Caenorhabditis elegans: one gene and its partner. The gene in region 1 interacts genetically with each later gene. Each region holds a gene or a part of one and is shown on either strand. Other genes may lie near its edges. The genes, in order: cku-70 and unc-84.

Region 1 (5,100 bases):
AGCCTTCACTGAGAATCGCATATGTCTAGTGACTTTGCAAATATATCAAATTTCCGGTAAAACCAAAATAACGTCGGTTGCATAAACTTGCCGAAAATTTCGAAATCTACTGCAGGCGTGGGCGGCAAACGATTTCTTTCCGGCAATTCGGCAACTTGCCGGAATTAAAAACTTCCGGCAAACCGGCAAATGGGCGGAATTAAAAATTCCGATAAATCGGCAAATTTCCGGAATTGAAAACTGCCGGCAAACCGGCAAATTGCCGGAATTGAACATTTCCGGCAAATTGCCGGAGTAGAAAATTTCCGGCAAATCGGCAAATTGCCGGAACTGAAAGTTTCGGCAAACCGGCAAATTGCCGAAATGGAATCTACAGCCAAATCGGAAAATTGTCGGAATTGAAAACTTCCGGCAAATCGGCAAATTGGCGGAATTGAAAATTTTTGGCAAACCAGCGAATTGCCGGAATAGAAAATTTCCGGCAAATCGGAAAATTTACGGAAAACCAGCAAATTGCCAGAATTAAAAACTTCCGGCAAACCGGCAAATGGGCGGAATTGAACATTTCCGGCAAATTGCCGGAGTAGAAAATTTCCGGCAAATCGGCAAATTGGCGGAAATGAAAATTTCCGGCATATCGACAAAACCGGCAAATTGCCGGAATTGCAAATTTCCGATAAACCGGCAAATCGCCGGAATTGAAACTTTTCTAACTTTTTCAAACTTGAACAAAACTCAAATATCAAATTTTTTTCCGTGAAAATCCCAAAATTCCACGTTGGAAATTTCAAAATTCCAACAGCAAAAAAAAAAAACGCCGCGGACAAAATTCAAAATTCAATTTATTCCTAAATTTCGACTCGGTGGTGTGTGCGTGAGTTGTTCAACAATGTTCAGTCGACTAAAGCAAAAAGTGAAAGAAAAGACGGGCAGAAGCAAGGCGACAGTGCTTCCCGCCGAAATCGACGAGGCGTTGATCTACTTCAAATCTCTGAAGCCCCGCGTCCAGGATCTCTACAAGCACATGGCAAATCTGAACGACGTGGCAAATTGGCAAGTGAAAGCCAACTTTTCAGGCCCACTGGAGAACTATGCTCTGCTCGGAGATCGTATCAACGTGCAACCGTTCATCAATTGTGTCGACACGCGGATGGAGGCAGAAGTCGAGTCGATGGATAAGGTGCTGGCGATTTGTGAGCGGTACAAGGCGTTCACACAGAACGAGAGTAAGCTTCACACAAATACAATTGCCAATTTGAATAAGACACGTCTCGATATGGATAGTGCTGCGAACAAGTACGCCAGCAACGACACTGACGTCAATCGGACTCGGTTTGATGATGCCACTCGTGAGTTTGAGGTGGCTTGTGATCGGATGCGTGAGTTGGCGATAAGTATTCAGACAATTGAGGAGACTCATTCCATGTGGCAAGATGAATTGATGCGGGAGATAAAGGCCGGAATGAGGAAACCGAATTGAGGTGGTGGTGGTGGTGGTGATGGATGAGAAATTGAAAATTGAAGAGATCTCACAAAAAAACCTTTTTTTTTTTTGAAAATAAATTAGGTTATTATGAAATATTGTTTTGCCAATTTTCTAGGCGGCGTGGCCTACACGATTTCAGGCCGCTCTTTATGAAAAGCTAAGTTCTGGCGTCGAAAATTGCCAATTTCTTGAAAAAAAAATACCGGAAATTGTTTTGTCGAAAGCAGTGGTGGACGGCAATTGCCGTTTGGCAAATTCGGCAAATTGTCGGAAATGCCGGTTTGCCGGAAACTTTAATTTCCGACAATGTGCCGGTTTGCCGAATTGTTGCCGGAAATTTTTTATTCCGGCAAGTTGCAGATTTACCGGAAACTAAATTCCGACAATTTGCCGATTTACCGAATTACCGTATATTTTCATTTATGGGAACTTGCCGGTTTGCCGTTTTGACGAGAACTTTCATTTCTGGCAATTTGCCGGTTTGCCGAATTGACGGAAATTTTCATTTCTGGCAACTTGCCGGTTTGCAGTTTTGCCGTAAATTTTCAATTCTGGCAATTTGCCGGTTTGCCGTGACGGAAATTTTCGTTTCCGGCAACTTGCCGGTTTGCCGAATTGCCGCAAATTTTAATTTCTAGCAACTTGCCGATTTGCCGGAAAATTTCATTTTCAGCAATTTGCCGGAAATTTTGATTTCTAGCAAGTTGCCGGTTTGCCGAATTGACGGATATTTTCATTTCTGGCAACTTGCCGGATTGCCGAGTTGACGGAAACTTTAATTTCCGACAATTTTCCGGTTTGCCGGAAATTTTCAATTCCGGCATTTTGCCGATTTGCCGGAAACTTTAATTTCCAACAATTTGCCGGTTTGCCGAATTGCCGGAAAATTTAATTTCCAGCAAGTTGCCGAATTGCCAAAAATGAAAGTTTCCGGCAACTTGCCGGTTTGCCGGAAACTTTCAATTCCGGCAATTTGGCAATTTGCCGTAAATTTTCAATCAATTCTGGCAATTTGCCAGAAACTTTTAATTCTGGCAATTTGCCAGAAATTGTCATGTCCGGCAATTTGGCAATTTGCCAGAAATTTTCAATTCCGACAATTTGTCTATTTGCCGGAAAAAAATCGTTCGAATTTTCAAAAAAGTGGTGATCTACCGAAATTCTGCCAAAAGTCAAAAGAACAATCAATTTTTTGCCAAAAAATTGCCAGATTGCGTATAATATTCTGAAATTGTAGATTTTACTCGAAATTTAACTGGAAATTGCCAATTTGTCGAGATTTTGAAAAATTAGAAGTTTGCCTAATTCACTGCGAAAATTGTGCCAAGTCGCCAAAAGACGACGAATGCCGAGAAAAAAAACCACGAAAATGTCAGAAATTGTCCGCGATTTCCGCACCTTCCTCCGCAATTTCCTTAATCTTATTCACTTCTTCCTGTCCAAGAACACCCATCGGCACAAGCAGAGTGCTATTTTCGAGTCCCTCGGTCTCCGAGTTTTTCTGTAATTAAAAAATTATTAAATTTTCAGAAATTCTTCAGAAAAAACTCGTACAGTACTAGTGACAATCACTCCGATATGATTGTTAAGGCTCCGCGAGCAGCAAACACGGACTATTTCGTCGAGAATGAGCTTCAGAGCAAGCTTGAACTCTGGCGGCTCACCGGCTTTCGACGTTTCGAACATTGCCGGATTTCCGTCAATTATGAAGAATGTGTACTTTTTATTGGCCGTTGAACCCTCGAAATCGTCATCCTCGAAGCGGGTTTCGTCCATCTGGAAAAAAATTGATTTTTTTCAAACTTTTCTCGAAAAAAAATTCAAATTTTGACTGAAAAAATCGAAAAATTAATTTTTTTTGAATTTAAAAATATTTATTAAAATATTTTTGTTCTCAAAAACTTTGAAATTTGACATTTTTCAAGTTTTGAAAATTTCGAAAGTTTTTTTTTTCAAATTTTTCGAGAAAAAAATATCATATTTTGTCGATTTACGGAGCTCGTGACTGAAAAATTAAAAAAAAAAAACTTCTCCTCGAGGAGTACACCAGCTGCGTAAATAGACACACGGTTTTTATGCATGTGTCGATTTACGACGGATTTTGAACTACACGTGGACAAGTTTGAGTTCAATTTTTTTGCAAAATCTCGACTTTTTTTTTGGCTAAAATTTCAGTTTCCGAAACATTATCCCTCGTAAATCGACAACCCCTGTGTCGATTTACGCAGCAGCCTTCGTGTACTCCTCGAGGAGAAGTGTTATTTTTTGCTCAAAAATTTTAATTTTACAATAAAATAAATTACTTTGCATAGAAAATTTGAAAATAGCGAAAATGTTCAAATTCTCCCCGTAAGTCGACACAAATACTATAATAAATTGAAATAATTTTTTCAGAGATGGAAAAACTCCAAAAATTCAGTGAAAAAAGGGAGAATTAACACAGGATTCGATTGTTTATCAGATATGATTTGAGTATTTTCGGGAATATTTTTTTGGGGAAAAATAAAGAATTTTTCACTGAAAATTAGGAGAAAATGGAAAAATGGAGGAGGAGGAAATGACTTGTGAAAAAAATTAGGAAATTAGAAATTTCGACATAAAAAAGACGGGAAAATCGCAAAACTGGGGGGAAATTTTCAAAAAAAAAAGAAAATAAATTCATTGAATTTTCATCATTGGCGCAAAAATATATGAAAGATCCACTCGATTATAGGCATTTTTCTCCAAATATTTCTCATTGATTCGATCAGCCAACATCATTGAATCGATTTTGCACCCATTATATTCGACACGGACTTTGGCGGCTTCTGGAAAAAAAAAACTTTTTTGAAGAAAAAATTGTACAAAATTTCCTGGAAATCGAACTTTTAATGCTAATTTTTAGTGAAAAATTGTAATTTTCAACGAAAAAAAAAACTCAGAAATCGGAGAAAAAATTTACTGAAAAAAAATTACGGATTTAAAATTATTTGAGCCAAGCTTTTCAAAGAATACGGTACCGGGTCTCGATACGACAAATTGTTGTTGAATGCGAAAAAGTGTGCGCCTTTAAAGAGTACTGTAGTTTCAAACGGATTTTTTTAATCGATTTTGCGCATAGAATTTCACACGATTTGTTAAAACTTAAGCGGTTTATTTCAGTTTTTTTGTTTAACGAAAAACTGAAAAAAATGGATGAAAATTTCTCAAATTTCATCCAATTTTTTTCAGTTTTTCGTTAAAAAATATGCTTTTTATTAGAAAAACTGAAATAAACCGCTTAAATTTTAACAAATCGTGTGAAAATCTATGCGCAAAATCGATAAAAAATTCCGTTTGAAACTACAGTACTCTTTAAAGGCGCACACCTTTTCGCATTCAACAACAATTTGTCGTGTCGAGACCCGGGCGCAAAAATCGTGAAATTTCGGGATTGAGTAATAAAATTATAAAAGCCGAATAATTTTATCTCCGTAATTTTTTTTTTGAAAAAAAAAAATGCTGAATAGCTGCTGAAATAGAAAATAAAATTTTTTAAGTAAACTTTTTCTCCGAACTCTGCGTTTTTTTTTTTGAAATTACAATTATTCACCAAAAGTTTACATTAAAAGTCCGATTTCCAAAAAAAAAATTGA
Region 2 (7,574 bases), on another chromosome or scaffold:
TAATAAATTTTCAAGCATATTCTCTCATTTTTCAAAAAAATGTTCAGTTTCTCTTTTAATTCCTCAGTATGCACTGCATTATAAGCTTTGATGTTTTCCCCATTTAAACTACTCCCTCTTTAAAACATATTTAACACTTGATTACCCATCAAAATCCCGATTAATTCGATCAAGATGTTTGGAAATTTGAGAATGGGAAATCTGATTAGTTCTTGATAAATTTGGTTTTTATATATTTTTTTAATATTTTTCACTCTGTGAATAGACATGAAAATACAACAAAAAAATTTAAAAATTGAAAATCTTCTGGAAAACTTTTGAATTAGTTTTTCAAAAAGTTGGCAGTAGGCTTCAAAAACTCAAAAAATTGATTTCAAAAACTCAAAAAATTGATTTCAGTTTGAAAAGCGGCATTTTCAATATTCTAGAAGAACCTGATTTCAATTTTTAAAAGTTAAAATTAGAAAAAAGTTTTGCTATAGTAAATAAACACCGTAGTTTTTGTTAGTTTCATAACCATGTGAATCCAATAGATCACTGTTCAAAAATTGTAGAAAAAGTCAACAAAAACAACACCAGAGATCAGAGCCATGCGATTGATTTGAGAATTTAAAATCATTCAAACCTTCCACGCAGGCCGAAGTAACTGATCTGGAAGTTGTGCTTTATAAAAAAAACAGACATAGTTCAGTACTTAAAGCGGAAAACATTGTGGACACGCAGATTGTGCTTGTGTTTTTGGTTGAGGGTTTATTTTACTGATAGCCTATATCTGACGTACTGATATGTATTTCATGTTCTTCTACAAACGTTTATTGAAAACTAGTAACTTCTCCGTATCTGCTCTTGACTGTGTCTAATCGTTACAACACTTTTCAATTGGGCTTGTAAATTAGCCTCAAGGTTACGTGGTAAGGCGAGACACACTTCCGATTCTTTCACAGTACTTCTCACCGATTTGTTGCCCATTGCAATGATGCCTAATTCCTTCGGCCTGTTTACGTGTTTAGAGGGCAACACGTAGATGCATGTTCTTCTCTGGTGTTCTCTCTTCCCATCTCACACTCCCTCACTCGGTTCCATCGCTTGTCACCGTACGCCAGACAACTACTCTCTACAAAAAACACACTGCCTCACCCCCTCTCCCCCTATCTGCTGTCCACCACCTGCACCATTCGGCGGGGGTGATGGCGATTGGAGACTGGGGTGACCGACCGAAACCATTAAATCGACGCTCACTGTTGCGTGTATGTGTGTGCCCTCCCTTTCTCCTCCTTTCGCCCAGAAAAACACTCACACAAACAATATCGATTCGAGTATAGTGTGCAAGGTGAAGAGACGGAGGGCCCGACGGGGTGAGCACACAAACAACATTGGTTTGAATTTTTTCTGCCTTGCGATGTTTCGAAAAGTTGCGTATTTAATTTGTTGTGATGTGATATGTTTTGTTTTTTTTGCCAGTTTTTTTCTCTTAAATTTCATAATAAAATCAGGCAGTATTATATATTCTTTTCTCAGCCCATCAAAACCAACAGGTGATTATAATCGTGAGAAACACGAACGTCTCCCAGTCTTCTTCCTTCTCAAGCCCTTTTGTCTTCATAAAAGTGTTTGCTCGTTCTGTAAAGCGCACAGATTTTGGTGCGATGAATCATGCGTAGTTCAAAATCAAACAAAGACAGAGACTCGATGCTTGCAAGTTTTGTTACTTTTTTATTCTCACTTCAATACTTCTTTTTTCACCGCTCTTTAATATCTTTAATATCTTCCTTAAAATTGTGTTTTGCAGGTACTATGGCTCCCGCAACGGAAGCCGACAACAACTTCGACACCCATGAATGGAAATCGGAATTCGCATCCACACGCTCTGGACGCAATTCTCCAAACATTTTTGCAAAAGTTCGCCGGAAGCTTCTCCTGACTCCACCAGTTCGAAACGCCAGATCGCCACGTCTTACCGAAGAAGAGCTGGATGCTTTGACAGGCGACTTGTATGTTACCCCCCTCCCCCTTTTTCTCATTCAAATTTCGCGCCACATACGGCCGAGGTTTCACGCGCACCTGCTAGGCCACGTTTTGTTTGTGTATTTTGGAACTCAGTTTGCTTGTACTTGACGCCCTAGAAGCCTTTGACAAATATGTAAAAGCTGTGTTGTTCTGAGCAGTGAGGTGGAAAAGAGGAAAAGTAGAACACCAGAAAGTATCGGGTTACAAGGGTGGGTTAAGGCGAAGGAATCTGAGCGGGAAGAAGAAGAATAAAGGTCACTTACCAGTGAGCTCTTGGTGGTTCCGTTTCTTTTTGAGTTTTAAGTCTGTGTGAATGTTGGTTGTTTAATTTTAAATATGTAGTGTTTACAAGTCTTGTATAAAAATTAGAAAACCAAGGCGAAACGAAACCTATAATAGAAGATTAACTTTTCCTGGCATTTTCAAATGTTGAACTTATATTCCTAATGTAATAAAATTTTCATAATTTCTTTTTCAGACCATACGCAACCAACTACACATACGCATACAGCAAAATCTACGATCCATCCTTGCCGGACCACTGGGAAGTGCCAAACCTTGGTGGTACTACTTCAGGATCACTCTCTGAGCAGGAGCACTGGTCAGCGGCCAGTCTCAGCAGACAGCTTCTCTATATCCTCCGTTTCCCCGTCTACCTTGTTCTTCACGTCATCACCTACATTTTGGAAGCTTTCTACCACGTCATCAAGATCACTAGCTTCACCATCTGGGACTACCTGTTGTATTTGGTGAAACTCGGTAAGTTGTTTTTCTGCAAAATGTTAGAATTAAAAAAAAAATTTTTTTTCAGCGAAAACTCGTTACTACGCCTACCAAGATCATCGTCGCCGTACAGCTCTCATTCGCAACCGGCAAGAGCCATTCTCCACTAAGGCTGCTCGTTCTATTCGTCGATTCTTTGAGATCCTTGTCTACGTCGTGCTTACTCCTTACAGAATGCTCACAAGAAGTAACAATGGCGTGGAACAGTACCAGTACCGTTCGATCAAGGATCAATTGGAAAATGAGAGAGCTAGCAGAATGACGACAAGATCTCAAACATTGGAAAGAAGCCGCAAGTTTGATGGATTATCGAAATCACCAGCACGCCGAGCAGCTCCAGCCTTTGTGAAGACTAGTACAATTACCAGAATCACTGCCAAGGTGTTCTCGAGCTCTCCATTCGGAGAAGGAACGTCCGAAAATATAACCCCGACTGTTGTGACTACTAGAACAGTGAAGCAACGCTCAGTTACCCCAAGATTCCGCCAAACCCGTGCCACTCGTGAAGCTATAACTCGAGCACTCGATACTCCGGAACTCGAAATCGACACACCACTCTCCACATATGGACTTCGAAGCCGAGGACTGAGTCATCTGAATACTCCTGAACCAACTTTTGACATTGGTCATGCTGCTGCAACTTCCACGCCTTTGTTCCCACAAGAAACTTACAATTATCAATACGAAGAAGCGACAGGAAATAAGATTAAAACTGCATTCACTTGGCTAGGTTACTTGATATTGTTCCCGTTCTTTGCGGCACGACATGTATGGTATACGTTCTACGATTATGGAAAGAGTGCCTACATGAAGCTGACCAATTATCAGCAAGCGCCAATGGAGACTATTCATGTCAGGTATGAACATTTTAAATTTATGATGACCGAGTTCAATTTTTTTCATGTTATTTATACAGAGATATCAACGAACCGGCACCAAGTTCATCAGATGTTCATGATGCTGTTGGTGTTTCTTGGAGAATTCGAATTGCCGATTTCTTGAGCTCATTCGTAGCAACAATCGTTGAAGCGCATCAAGTGGTATTTGCAATGTTCAAAGGAGGAATTGTTGAGACAGTTTCCTATTTTGGAGGACTATTTGCTGGTCTTACCGATAAGAAATCATCAAAGTTCTCGTGGTGTCAAATTCTCGGTCTACTTCTGGCTCTTCTCTTCGCCATCTTTCTCCTTGGATTCCTGACATCTGACAACACAGCAATAAGAGTTAAAGAAATTACCAAAGATAAGAATGCATCTAAGAAGTCGGAAGGATCCCTCCCAGCTGTGCCAATCTGGATTTCAGCTGCAAATCACGTTAAACATTACACATGGATGGTGAAGGAATTTGTTGTAGATATTGGTATGTTATAAATCTCATTTTTCTGTTCAGTGTAGAAAACAACATCTTTAAATTCCAGCATTTGACACGTACAACTATGGAAAGTCGACGATTGGTAGACTTGGCACTACTCCACGTTATGCTTGGGACCTGATTGCAAGCGGATGTGGCGCTGTTGGAAATGGCTTAAAATCTGTGCTCTCATCGAGTTTTCGATTCATCGATTTTTGTGCTGGAAAGCTATTTTACTATGGCTCAGATGGGTTCTTGTCAGCAAACAAGTCTATCGGAACCTTTTTCAACGGTTGCTACGAGACCTTGTACAACGGATGCACAGCAATTGGTAAGGAAAATACAAATTGTATGCAGTCAAAATGTGGTAAAACTTTAAAAAATTAAAATTCGATCAATCCATTATGCTGGAAATCTTTAGTAATTTTCAACATCTTATCAATGGGACATGAGTATTAGCTTTTATTTTTCAGAACAGTAATTTACTTGGTATTTGTGAAATAGAAAACTGAATTCCAAAATGTTTGTAACGAATGAAATAAAATGGAAATAAAAGTGTTGAGCAACATGCTAGTATTATTTTATTTTTCAGGCTTAGAACTTATTAACTTTTTGAGTTATTAATTGAGTAGAATCCTAAGCCTAAAATACCATTCACGTTTTATTTAATTTTTTTTGAAACATCAAAAAACTTTTGTAGTACCAGCAAGTACCATTTACACGTAAAAAAATGATATTATCTGTTTTCACTATTTGTATTTACAACAAGAAAGACACTACAAAAAACCAAAGAAAATCGCTTTTTTTACAGTTGGCCATACAAAGAGCTTCATCTACAATGCTTCAAATGCTGTTTACAACTTTTTCTCAACTATCTTTGCCGGTCTCTTAAACTTTTCTACTTCTTCCCAAAACTCCATTCTTTCTCTTCTCAAGTCATTTGGCACCGGAATCACTAACATTTTTTGTAAGTGCTACAATTTTCAAACTATAAACTTAAATGGTGTTTTTTCTTCAGATAACTTCATTTATGCACCAATCGCTGGAGTGTTCAACTTTGCTGGTGATAACTACATGTATTTCTTCAATGAGGTAGCGGCAGTCTTTGGAAAAGTGTACAACTCCGTGGTTTCCGTGCTCAAAACTGTAATTAACTGGATTCTCTTCCTCATTGCCTACCCATTCAGTTTGTGCACTCGTGCTTGGATTCGCATCAGCCAATATGCTCCAGAAGATGTTGTTCAAGTGATTCCAATTCCACAAGCTATTACCCCAACTCCGGATGTGGAGCGTATTGTTGAAGAGCCACTGAGAAAAGTCACCGATGTGGAGGACGAAGAACTAGTGATAATTCCCGCCCCCGCACCTAAACCTATCCCAGTCCCAGCGCCAACTCCGGCCCCAGTAATTATCCATCAGACTAACGTTGTTGAGACTGTTGACAAAGATGCTATCATTAAGGAGGTAACGGAGAAGGTAACTAACTAATCAATTATTGAATGATTGATGTTTTGTACATATGTACATAATAAAGATTTTTGTTATTTTTAGCTTCGCGCCGAGTTGTCCGCCCAATTCCAGCAAGAGCTTAGCGCAAAGTTTGAGCAAAACTACAACACAATTATTGAGCAACTGAAAATGGAAAACACCAACATTCAATATGATAAGAATCATTTGGAAGCTATCATCCGTCAAATGATCTACGAGTATGACACGGATAAAACTGGGAAAGTTGACTATGCCCTGGAGAGCTCAGGTGGAGCTGTTGTGTCAACAAGATGCTCGGAGACGTACAAAAGCTACACAAGGCTGGAAAAGTTTTGGGATATCCCAATCTACTATTTCCATTACTCTCCAAGAGTTGTCATTCAGGTGAGCGCTTTAGGATCCTCTGACTCCAAGCCTATTATCTTTTCATTTTCAGAGAAATTCCAAATCCCTGTTTCCTGGGGAATGCTGGTGCTTCAAAGAATCCCGTGGCTACATTGCTGTCGAGCTGTCTCATTTCATTGATGTTTCTAGCATCAGCTATGAGCACATTGGATCAGAAGTTGCTCCAGAAGGGAACCGGTCGAGTGCTCCAAAGGGAGTCCTCGTTTGGGCTTACAAGCAGATTGACGACCTGAACTCGAGAGTTTTGATTGGCGACTACACTTATGATCTTGATGGCCCGCCACTTCAATTCTTCCTTGCCAAGGTAAGTCCGAATGATTAATTCTTGACAAGTGTGTGGCTATTATCGAATTAACATTTTCAGCACAAACCCGATTTTCCTGTCAAGTTTGTGGAGCTCGAGGTGACAAGCAATTACGGAGCTCCGTTCACATGTCTCTACCGCCTTCGTGTTCATGGAAAAGTTGTTCAAGTTTAATTTATTTTGTTAATCTTGTTTTTATGGTCAAATTTTCAATTTCCATTGATCTGATTCCGAAATGTTTCAATTTCACCCCTCTCCTGCCAATTTTTCAAATCACAATTCATTTTCCCAAATTTTTCCAGTTCCCTTGTTATATTTTTAGCGCGTGTCCATTTTTTTTCAAAGTATAGAATATCATTACATTTTCATGCAGTTTACCGGTCTCCTGAATACTTGGCCTGAATATATTTGAATGCAAAACCAATCACTCTCTATTTCTCTGCAGCCTTTACCCCCTGATCTCAAAATACTTTATCGATTTTCATAAATTATTTCAATATCTTTTGTTCTTGTAAAACTGAACTAAAACCCATTATGTGGAAGAGTGAATAAGTGTTAGATTGGCATAACAAACCGTAACCGATGGATTCGCAGCAAACGACATTAATTGAGTATACCGCCTAACACATTCATTGATCATTTCTTTTGTATTCCTCGGGCTATATATACTAAACCATGCGAGAGCGTTAACATTGTATTTTCTTCAATTTTCATGGAGTCCTGTGTAGATTTAAAATTACGAATTTTCAAATTTGTGGCGTACTCTGTCGTTGGAAGCTCAGTAATAGCTACAGCGTTTCTTTGTGTAACACTACCGTTGATTTACGAGCATGCACAAAATGGAATGATGACTATTAGCAGAGAAGGAGCATATTGCAAGGTGAGTGATAAACTAAGCATTAGTAATGTTTTGTGCTGAAATAGTTTTTAGTAGTGTATACCTGAACATTTTAGTAATTGAAGTTCTTCCTAGCAAAACATAATTGTCATTTTACATAGAAGTTTGCGGCAATTAAGAGTATAATATTTTCAGAAGTCTATAAACGAAATCTGGTTTGATATGACCGAAGATGTCGACATCGTCCACAATCGAACAATTCGCGAAGCTTACACTGTTACTAGAGGTGAAGGTAACACTGGTTACGCTGTTGGAAGAGGAAGCAATATTAAACCCCGCGGCTATAATACTGGGTATAGATCCCAGAAAAAGAAGAATAATGGTTGGAGAAGCCCACCA

Evidence for each region.
Region 2: of cku-70 (region 1) and unc-84, changing one enhances a phenotype caused by changing the other (phenotypic enhancement), as found in Caenorhabditis elegans (one study listed by BioGRID).

What each region holds. Positions count from the first base shown.
Region 1 is NC_003281.10:11,152,989-11,158,088, reverse strand, and holds the start of cku-70 (Ku domain-containing protein), read right to left. Parts: upstream 3,263-5,100; coding exon 3,041-3,262; intron 2,988-3,040; coding exon 2,885-2,987; intron 1,481-2,884; coding exon of another isoform or gene 890-1,480; intron 1-889. Other genes in the region: Y47D3A.31 (BAR domain-containing protein), read left to right, coding at 890-1,480; pola-1 (DNA polymerase), read right to left, coding at 4,145-4,293.
Region 2 is NC_003284.9:13,582,986-13,590,559, forward strand, and holds unc-84 (Nuclear migration and anchoring protein unc-84), read left to right. Parts: upstream 1-1,789; 5' UTR 1,790-1,794; coding exon 1,795-1,991; intron 1,992-2,485; coding exon 2,486-2,766; intron 2,767-2,818; coding exon 2,819-3,647; intron 3,648-3,706; coding exon 3,707-4,149; intron 4,150-4,207; coding exon 4,208-4,471; intron 4,472-4,951; coding exon 4,952-5,107; intron 5,108-5,158; coding exon 5,159-5,616; coding exon of another isoform or gene 5,617-5,628; exon of another isoform or gene 5,629-5,686; intron 5,687-5,691; coding exon 5,692-6,012; intron 6,013-6,064; coding exon 6,065-6,337; intron 6,338-6,397; coding exon 6,398-6,511; 3' UTR 6,512-6,836; downstream 6,837-7,574. Other genes in the region: col-9 (Nematode cuticle collagen N-terminal domain-containing protein), read left to right, coding at 7,050-7,217, 7,371-7,574. UniProt on the Caenorhabditis elegans protein: Involved in nuclear migration and anchoring in hypodermal precursor cells. Most likely recruits anc-1 to the nuclear envelope where anc-1 functions to tether the nucleus to the actin cytoskeleton.